Neodiprion lecontei: one gene and its partner. The protein of the gene in region 2 purifies or fractionates together with the protein of the main gene of each other region. This does not show direct contact. Links are inferred from orthologs where the notes say so. Each region holds a gene or a part of one and is shown on either strand. Other genes may lie near its edges.

Evidence for each region.
Region 1: the proteins of histone H2A (region 2) and histone acetyltransferase Tip60 purify together in Homo sapiens (affinity purification with western blotting; 3 studies listed by BioGRID and IntAct, with this or other methods). This does not show direct contact. The link is inferred for Neodiprion lecontei from reciprocal best matches to the Homo sapiens genes H2AX and KAT5.

Annotation. Positions count from the first base shown.
Region 1 is NC_060265.1:23,412,276-23,418,019, forward strand, and holds histone acetyltransferase Tip60, read right to left. Parts: upstream 3,726-5,744; 5' UTR 3,538-3,725; coding exon 3,442-3,537; intron 3,340-3,441; coding exon 3,282-3,339; intron 3,190-3,281; coding exon 3,121-3,189; intron 2,887-3,120; coding exon 1,794-2,886; intron 1,664-1,793; coding exon 1,559-1,663; intron 1,499-1,558; coding exon 1,447-1,498; 3' UTR 502-1,446; downstream 1-501. UniProt on the Homo sapiens protein: Catalytic subunit of the NuA4 histone acetyltransferase complex, a multiprotein complex involved in transcriptional activation of select genes principally by acetylation of nucleosomal histones H2A and H4.
Region 2 is NC_060262.1:40,434,774-40,438,979, forward strand, and holds histone H2A, read right to left. Parts: upstream 2,198-4,206; 5' UTR 2,060-2,197; coding exon 2,038-2,059; intron 1,952-2,037; coding exon 1,744-1,951; intron 1,129-1,743; coding exon 948-1,128; 3' UTR 577-947; downstream 1-576. UniProt on the Homo sapiens protein: Variant histone H2A which replaces conventional H2A in a subset of nucleosomes. Nucleosomes wrap and compact DNA into chromatin, limiting DNA accessibility to the cellular machineries which require DNA as a template.

The DNA of each region.
Region 1 (5,744 bases), on a different chromosome or scaffold from region 2:
AAAACATCTTTCACATTTGCTGAAATACAAGACGAAAGATTTTGACAATGTTCGTAGATTAAATCTATGAAAAAAGGGATTTTTTCTCGTTCCTCCTTTTTCTGTCAACAATTGATGTCCACCACATAAGTAACTAGTCGAATTAAATCGAAATGAGCTTGATTTATTGTAAATCATAATTTTTTTTCTCATAGCGTCTCTTTTTTTTGCTTTTTCGCTCTCTCTCTCTCTCTCTCTTTCTCTCTCTCTCTCTCTCTTCCTTTCTCCTATAAGCGTGAAATTTAATACAGACAAAAATACGCAATGATAAGACAATTTACAGATAATCGATAACAACTTTGATATAGCCCGCCATGGCACTATACTACAATCGGTAAACACTTTGTAGGGGTTCAATTAAACGTTGTAATAAACTAAAGATAGTAATTATGGTTCATACTTAATTTGTAGACATCTTACCACTGTTATTATTATAATTTTTGTTTTTTTACCCCATGCTACACTGATTTCTGGTGCCTGACGTACTTGTATGAGAAAATTAATATCAATGCATGGGGTAGTGCACTTGGACCTATTGAATGAATGAAATGTCCAGACCAAAGATCCTTTGCACCTTTCGACCACAACGTTTAAAAATAGTCTTAGGTGTAATTAAAAATAAGCGTATAGACAATGCTGGTATTAACGGATTTAAACAGTGGGCAACTAGCCGGGCAATGCATTTGAAAGGAAAAAGAAACGCAAACGGAATAAATTGAGTGACGAGAGCAATTTCCATATCGTATAAAAGGAAAATAGTATTTGTAAAACTTTGAATTCCCTTGTCGAGACTAAAATTCGCATTTTTTGAGCATACTTCTCTTGTTTCATTCTTACTATACGGTTACTGACGGCATTAATCTAGTCAAGTTCACCACATTGCTTGTTCTTCAATGCCGCAGACGAAGATTTATTATTTTATGCCCAAGTTGTACGCAGTTTAAGTTTGGTCACGAGCTGTTCAACGCTACCGTGCATACAGACGATCAGACATACAAATAGATGATCTTTCTACGATTTTGTATATTAATATAATAACTGTGCAATCGTGAGTGGTACCATAAAATACAAGATCCGAACAAATAACAAGCGCACCACACCGACGTCGAACTGCTCTGGCCGTTGTCTTATAATTATTATTATTGTTATTATTAATTATCGTTATTCCTATATTATTAAATATTATTAAATACAATAAAATAATATAGAAGAAAGAGCGTTGGCAAACCAATTATACTTAAAACACATATGGAATGAATAATTAACAAGATCTCTATCTGTACAAGTATAAGAATTTACATCTAACAATATTATATACATACATATGGTGTATATGTATCATGCAATATTTTTGAAACTAGACACAGCAGGTTTAAAACGAGAAAAAAAGCCCCACAAATTCGAGAGTTATGTACAATTTTGCACGCTTGCGTGACGTAGATAATCAGTTCCAGGATTCCTGAAACGAATTTTAAATCACATTAGCGTATTTGTATTGCAAGATATTAGTTTTGTTCACCATTTCGCTCTGACGCTCCAGTCTTTTGGTGTCCAATGAAGACATTTTGGGTCTATTCCTATCTGACGCTTCTCCATTGCGGCGGCGTGTTGCTGTATTATATCTCTGTGAAAATATACAATCATAACTCAATGATTTTTCCACTAATTTTCGTTCAACGTTAGATGTCAAGTATATTCATAGAAGTTTAGATCACGATGAAGATGATGAAATCGATCATTTGTTGTCTCCTTACCTATTAAGCGTAACGATGTATTGTCCTTTGTAGTAATTAATGAGGTTTAAATTTTGCAGCGTTGATATGACATCTTCTTTTTTTATCGACGTCAGTTCACATATTTCGTTTATCGTTATCTGTGGTTTTTCATTCTCGACTAAGGGTTTGACGTTTAGTAAAATGTCTAGTATCGTGTGGGCCCAGTAACTTCTATACGACAATAACCCCAAGTCGGACAGTGGCTTTTCCGGAGATCCAGTTTTACCCTCAAATTTCGATAATTCATAAGAAAATTCAATTAACAGTTTTCCATAACCCTTTCTCTGGTAAGGAGGCATTGTCAAAATACAAGCGACATTGTAATCCTCGGTCGATTCTTTCTCCTTCGAAAAATATCCCACAATATGAAAACCTCGGCTATCGAATTGTGTCATAACATAGAACAAGAAGGGATCCGTGTCGTAATATAAAGTTTTATGATCTAAGAATAACTTTGCTAATAAACAAAGATTTTGAGCATAATTCTTGTTTTTCCTTCCATCTATTTCAAAGAACGATATCGAGCCTTTTCTGTATATTTCGTTTCCAGGCGGATGCCTTAAATTACATTTTGCCAAGTGTCTTTCTAGACATTTTCGACTCTTTCGATACTTGAGGCAGAATTCACATATGTAAATACATTGGAGGCTGACCATTTCTTGAGGGTACGGGCTGAAATACCATGGTTTTATCCTATGCCTTCCCAATTCAATTAATTCTATATTTTTCATCCTAGTTACAACATCATCGTGGTGATGCGCTACCAGTGAACCGGTAGACCTTGGGCCGGTAGCCGCAGGTACAGGTTGCGGTGGTGCTTCTTGAGAATCCTCGTTCTCTAAGAATGTAGCTTTTCTTTTTCTAGAAATTTTTTTCTGTAACGCTGCCTGCAGTACTGCCGAACCGTTGACCGGCTCAGGTATCACATTGTTTGGACTCGGCGGCCTGCTAGGAATCTGTTTTTTTGGTGTCGCTGCCCCCGTTCCAGGCGCTGTACCATCTCGCCTTGGAAATTGAACTTTCCGCGTATCTAAACAATTTTCCATCACCCACTCGTCCAATCGTTTGTTAACTGAAATAATTTAATTTCCTGTTGTTCGGAGTGGCATATCGAAGGGAAACAATGTGCACTATTCAAATATATCAAGTTTGCAGTGACAGTTCAAGTTTTCATGGCTAATGACAGTAAACTTTTAACAGAAAAGCTAATCAACTGGCTATTCCATGATAATACAAAGATACGTTTTATGGAATATTCATGTTTGCAAAGTTTCCTGTCATCTAATTGCAGTAATTGAATACTTACAATCCACATAGTGGACATAGTAGCATTTGACACCTCGCATCTCTTTGACGCTGATGATTTCAGCGAGCGCTGTAAAAGAAAACGTTGTGTGAGAAACGAAGAGGGCAGCGGAACGAGTTCCAAATATTTTAAATAATTTTGCAGGGCTACAAGTAACTTACGCCAGTCGTCGCCGTCTTGCATCCTGACCGGCAAACGACAACCCTCGACAAGTGATGACTGAAATTGAGGTTAGAATTAGTAAAATTCACAATTACATCCAACGTTTGCTCCGGGGTCAAATATTCATATCCTTCGCAGTTGTAATACAGCTCTACTTACCACTGAATCACATATCGTCTCCCGCTCATCGTGTTCCTCGATCATTTTGATCAGAATTTGACCAAAACTTGTCACTAAACACAATGTTGTTTTCATACACTTCGGGGAGCAGACACTAGCGCTATTCTTGGCTCAGAACAGAACCCTTTCACTAAACGCAAGCGTTGCCGGTAATATATATATTGTAAAGAGACAAGGTTTGCGGTTCGTCTCGTACTTTCCATTAATTTTGCGTTAATGCGAAATATTTAATTAATTCCGAAATGCGTTACAGATTATGTAGTACAGAAAATACAGAATACATATTTACGCCTGACGCTGCGGAGAGTAGCAATTTTGTACGACGCGGGCCGCATTCTGCGCATTCGCCGCGCGCAGCCCGAAACTTCGTTCCGTAAGTGAGCGGCGTCATTCGCTTTCGAGCAGCAGGAGCAGAGCCACGTGCGTTGATCGTCTAGAATTCGTACCGCAATATTTGGTCTGCATAAGGTGATTTGAGTTCTTTCTAAAATTTTGAAGTTTTCTAGATAGTTCGTTGACACATTCAGATTGTTCTCGGGCAAACGTTTGACTGTTCACCGCGTTTTGTGACGAGAGAATGTCCCGTTAATTCTCTGTTGCGATTTTCTCTCTCAATTTCTGATCAAACGGACCTTTGTAAAATGCAATTTTAGCACGTTTATTATGACTTGGTTTATTTTGCCGTAAAAAACAGTCTATCGGAACGTACGCTGAATGAAAGAGTTTCGTTATTAACATGTAGTTGTACTCGCGTCCCTATAATGCGTAGCGCGGTGACTCGCGCAGTTCACCGTTCGCGAATCAACAGACCTTCGTTTGTTTATCAACACCGAGGCATTTCTGAGAATTTTGATTCGTACTTCCATGCAACAAGGGTTGACGCGTTACAGCGTTACTATTTATTTCGTGACTTTAATTGTCGTGACCTTGTCGGTAGCTTATAAGGTGACATGTTAAAATTACACTCAACATCTTATACTTTATAAAATAATCGCTAATGAAAAAAATGAATGAAGACGAATCGCTGATTGTTGTTTATATTTTATATTGTCTTTTTGAGTAAGTCTGGTAAATTTTGAATGCTGCTTAGATCGATTTTAAAGTTATATTATGAACAAAATATTGCGTCAACCTACCTGATTAGAGAAACAGATTGCAACAAAGTTGATTAATGTTAGCAATTAGCTGGATTGTAAAATCCTGTTAATAAATCTTGGAAGATGTAATGCGGTAGCTGAACAGATGAATTTATTGCATAAAGGTAGCAGGCATAAAACAATGAAAATTATTTCTCACTTTATTATTTAGGCAATCGATAAAATTTTCCAAGGCTTAGCGTAATATGTAACATACTACAATTCCGTTTGTTTAACACTGGTCGTGAGTATATGGATTTTGAATATGAAATATTTAAATCATATGGGTGGTCTTTGATCTGATTACAGAAATAAGCTGCAGCGAGATCGATTGAGGTTCTAGCTAAAGTTTGAATCGTTTGACCTTAGCAATGAATGTGGGAAACAAAATACAATAACCGAACAGGTCGTAACGTTATGGAAGATCGCAAAGCAGGTACACGTTTTATTTCATCCTTGATTATCCTTTTACACTATTTTCACTCTGGAAAATTGATCTTTTATTCGCAATTTATTGCTGTTTAGTTTTTTGATTATATTTTATAAAAACTATGGTGCATTTCCAATGCTACGTGTATTGATTTAAACGATAAAATAATAATGAAATGTTATATCTTACCCCATTACAGGAACAAACTACACTGCAGCACCATTAACCGCATTTAGCAATGAAGTAAATAAAGTAACCCGATTAATCGATCTCTGAGAACAAAGTGAAAACTAAACCATCCACTACAGTGAAGAAAATTGGAAGGTACGTAATTGATATGATTATTGTTTATAATGTCGCTTTTGATTGTAAATGATTTTAGCTGCTCGTTGATTTTGTGCATTTACTCACTACTTGTGCTCATTTCATTAGCTTTCTTTTATTCATTCCTACATGTCATTTATTAATAGCAGCAGCCACCACTGAGATAATATGGAAAAAAAAACCGTCACGCGAAATCTAGTCCAAGTATATTGTGTGAGTAATCTTCTGTTATTTTCTTATTGCAGTGTAAATACGGCGTTACCTCACCACTCAACCTGAGATGCTACAAGAACTACTGCATGTAAAGTGTGGAGCAACCTGGAGAAGGTAAGAATACCTATCTTAATTATTGTTTGATAATTCAAGGTGGCACATTGAGAGACGAATTTTTG
Region 2 (4,206 bases):
TCTGAAGAATATTGCGGACTGTTATTAGTTATTCCTGGTATTACAAACTTCACGTACTACACGATTGTGAACGGTTTCTACAGTCCCGACCAAAAGTTACAATTTTGGAGCCTTGAGTCAACAGAGAAACGTTTTGATCAATTTGAATGAATGGTCGATTCGAAGCTTGAATCTGATTGTAAATTAATTCTTTATTCGGTTCTTTGAAAATTTATGATGATCAAACCTGATATCCCTGGACTTAAAAAATTGTGTGCTGCATACGTCAAATAATAAATACGAGAGTATAAGCTGCATGCTTGTTGATGTTATAATCAAAACACTCTTTCTTGAATATAGTCTACACTCTAAATTATCAGAAATAATTGGGCTACTGAAATTGCGGTAAGATGAAAAAGTGACGAGACAAACCAAAAACACTACACAATTATTGAAACCGCTTGTCATTTTTCGTTCGGGTTATTTTTCCATGTCAAGATATCGCTTATGTATGTACAAATAGGTACAATTTTCAAGAAATGTTCCCACCAATTCGTCATACTGTGGGATCAGTTATCAGGTCAATAAAAGTTAGTATTATTATGATAACGCTGCAGGCCATTTATTGTTTGTCACCTTTGATCTACTCACTTATCAAAATTGAAACAAAAAAATTCGCGAAATAATACAATGGCAAAAATTAATACATAAATATAAAAAACAGTTTGAAAAACGAAGGATGCCGTCAAACATAAGCATCATACAATGAATCATACACATAACGCGATTCATTTATTCAATACTGAAAAAAAAGAAACAAAATAAATTCAACTTGCAATTTTGTTCAGTGCTTTTAAACATCTGATCTTGCCAATTTTTAGTGAATGTAAATAAATGTGTTGCATTGAATTGTCAGGTTTTATAAGGTCAAATGTAAGTTCGTGCTCGCACTAATGTAATATCTTAATTTAGTATTCTTGAGAGGCCTTGTCTCCCTTGCCAGATCCACTGCTACTTCCAGTCTTTTTAGGCAATAAAACTGCCTGGATGTTGGGCAGAACACCACCCTGTGCAATAGTCACTCCAGAAAGCAGTTTGTTCAATTCTTCATCATTACGAATGGCTAGTTGGAGGTGACGAGGGATTATTCTGTAAAATAAAACATAAATATGGTCAATAAATCCAATTTCCTGAAGTAAATGTTGTACGTCTGACTGCAGGATTTTTCAAATATCTGTGTGTACGCATAGTTCAGTTACATGAAATCGGGTACTGTTTTCCCAAATCGAGAATTCCATTTAGAAAACGTGTAGATTGTCATAGTGATTTAGGAGAAGGGGGAGAGTTTGGTTGGTGCAAAAACAAGTTTCTTTGCATTAGGTTGAAATGGAAGTGTTCGGCCATGTTCACGTATAAATACATTCATACATACACCAATTTTATCACACGAATTATTACACACTGTACTGTTATTAGGATTAATTTCAAAGCAGTTCTTCATGTGTACAATGTATGTTCAATGTATCTTCATAGGAGACAAATGATTGTACCGAAACAGAGGAAAAACACGGCACGCGATAATAACGACGCAAATTCTGCTCGATTCCGTAAGAAATGTTAAACCTACTTTGGTTGAGATTTATCATATTATACAGTGAAGAAATTGTAGTGAATAAGAGAAAATGAAGGAGTAATCTGTGGGTTGTCTATACTTCTGAACTATGGTATTGTGGTTGTGAAAATAAGGGTGCTGATAGGACTAACCTCGTCTTCTTGTTGTCTCTCGCAGCATTTCCAGCCAACTCGAGAACTTCGGCGGCCAAATATTCCATGACCGCAGCTAGGTAAACCGGAGCACCGGCTCCGACACGTTCGGCATAGTTTCCTTTCCTCAGGAGCCGGTGAATACGACCTACGGGAAATTGAAGCCCAGCCCTGCTGCTGCGAGTCTTCGCCTTTCCCTTGGTCTTGCCTTTAAAAATCAATAAGAAACTTTTAATGCGTCCTGTTGTTCGAGAATCTGGCTAATTATTTCTCGGAAGCTTTGATACTACTCACCTCCTTTACCACGACCGGACATATTTCGAGATTGATTCTACACGGATAGAAAGTCTAATCACAACTGCAACCTCTTCCTACCGTTACCGAACAGCAAATGATGTCGGATGTCACGTATTTTGGCGCCCACTGTCTTGATAGCGCTCGTTTGCGCGGGAAAATTTTTTGACACGGAAGGCTGTGGAATTCGTATTATTTCATTCCGACAGATGGCAGCACCATACTTTGAAAACAAAAAAGCATGAGAAGCGTTACCTCATTGGTTAGTATCTAGAATTAAACCAATCGAACGTCGTCCTTGTCCTCTCCTATTTTTATGAGACTCGCAAATAAAACGCACCATTTGAAAAAGCTTTCTTGTATTTATGGATACATATAATTTATGCTTCAATTATGGCAATTGGAAGATTTAAAAACAAAAAAACTGACTACATAAAGCGTCGACCGAAAATATACATATTATGTACGGTGAATTACCTTCTCGACTGATTTCTTTTCATAAGAATTTATAAGATAATTTCAAAGACTACTTTAATATTTTACAATTAACTTTTAATAAAAGGGAGATAAAGGAGGCAGACAAAGTGTTTTCGAACAGTTTACTTTTAGGCTCTTGTTCTGGCCAGAAAGGTACCTGCAGATTTCTACAGATGCCTTAATATTACACAATACATAAAAATAATGATATTTACAAATGTAGGCACTCAATGAACAAAACGTTGAAAACACAGACAAAATTGATTTGCGGGTTATAACAGGGAAGGCGGGTAGATATGATGCTACATTATACGGAGCAAGGAGATAATCAATTTAGAGAGCACAATGAGAGATTTGAATCAGTACGCCAAATTATTCGAAAATGTGAAAACAAGAAAGAAAGAACTAAATAGGACCCAGGTGAAGTATAATAATTACGGTCTGCCAAGAAATGGATGATATTAAATAAAAATGTTATTTCACGTTTACTCATATTTTTTCAAGGTCCGTTCAATACATGGAATGTTAAAGGTTTAGCGGGTAACAAGCATTTTCATGGAATGTACTCACGCAATTTTGTGGTAAAAGTCAAGTCATTTTTTTTTATAACCTTGTTTTTTGTTAAGTACCTCAACATCGTTTTTCACTTCTTTGAAATTCACTGGCCATTGCAGACATTATTATTATTATTGTAAGTATTCAACATAGAATTGAAGGAGGTTCTTATTATTCTTATTCAATGGTTGAGTCTACAGTTTATACAAATTGCAATACATGTGTTCGAAAAATTATGCGAATTCCAAATAATTATTAGCGTTTCAATTATTACATACGGAAAATATTGAACCACAAAAAGTGCCCGTTTCGAGAAGACACTGGTGTACTTACAACAAATTAGAAGTATCTTTCAGAGGTTCATCAAATGGCGAATGTTCGATAAACAATTTTACTTCAATATAAAAGATATTCGCATTGTTTAAAAATCAATTATCTTCGATTTTGCAGTTATTAAATTGAGATCCTTCTCTTCTATGTTTATCTTATCAATACACATGCTACTAATCAGTAAACGTGCGAATCATATGATAGAATATCCTTTTCAATATTTAAATACAAGTCCACATTACAGAGAATAAAATAAGTTACATGAGTTCTCTCTATATTCAATAAAATATTATACAAATTATAATTATTTATCTTATACCTTGGGTTAAAGAGCCGTCAGTAAAAATTATGAAACACTAAAACTTCCTTATTAATTGAAGAGAAATTTGTATTTTGATTCGTTTTCTTTACACTTCATTTTTACACGTTCGTATCATATTGATATGATTACTTACAACACTTTAAACACTAGTCCCCTCTGATTTCATACACAATATTCAACATGTCTTTCAAATAGCATATTCTAATCAGACTCTTTTTACGAGTTGTTTTAGAAATGGTTAAGACACGTTTAAACTCCATGTAACAATCGCTATGTAAAAGAATGCCTAAATATCGAATAACTAAAATTTCTGGATTTAGAAAAACTACCAGTATAGCTTTAATTCATTACAAATAAAGTAAACTGTGATAAAAGACTAAAAAAATGCTGTACACTTGGTCAATGTAATCTTACATTTACTTATCTAAAATTGTTAAAAAATTGTTTGTCGTTTCAACTATTTAGATACCAACGGCTCTCTTAAC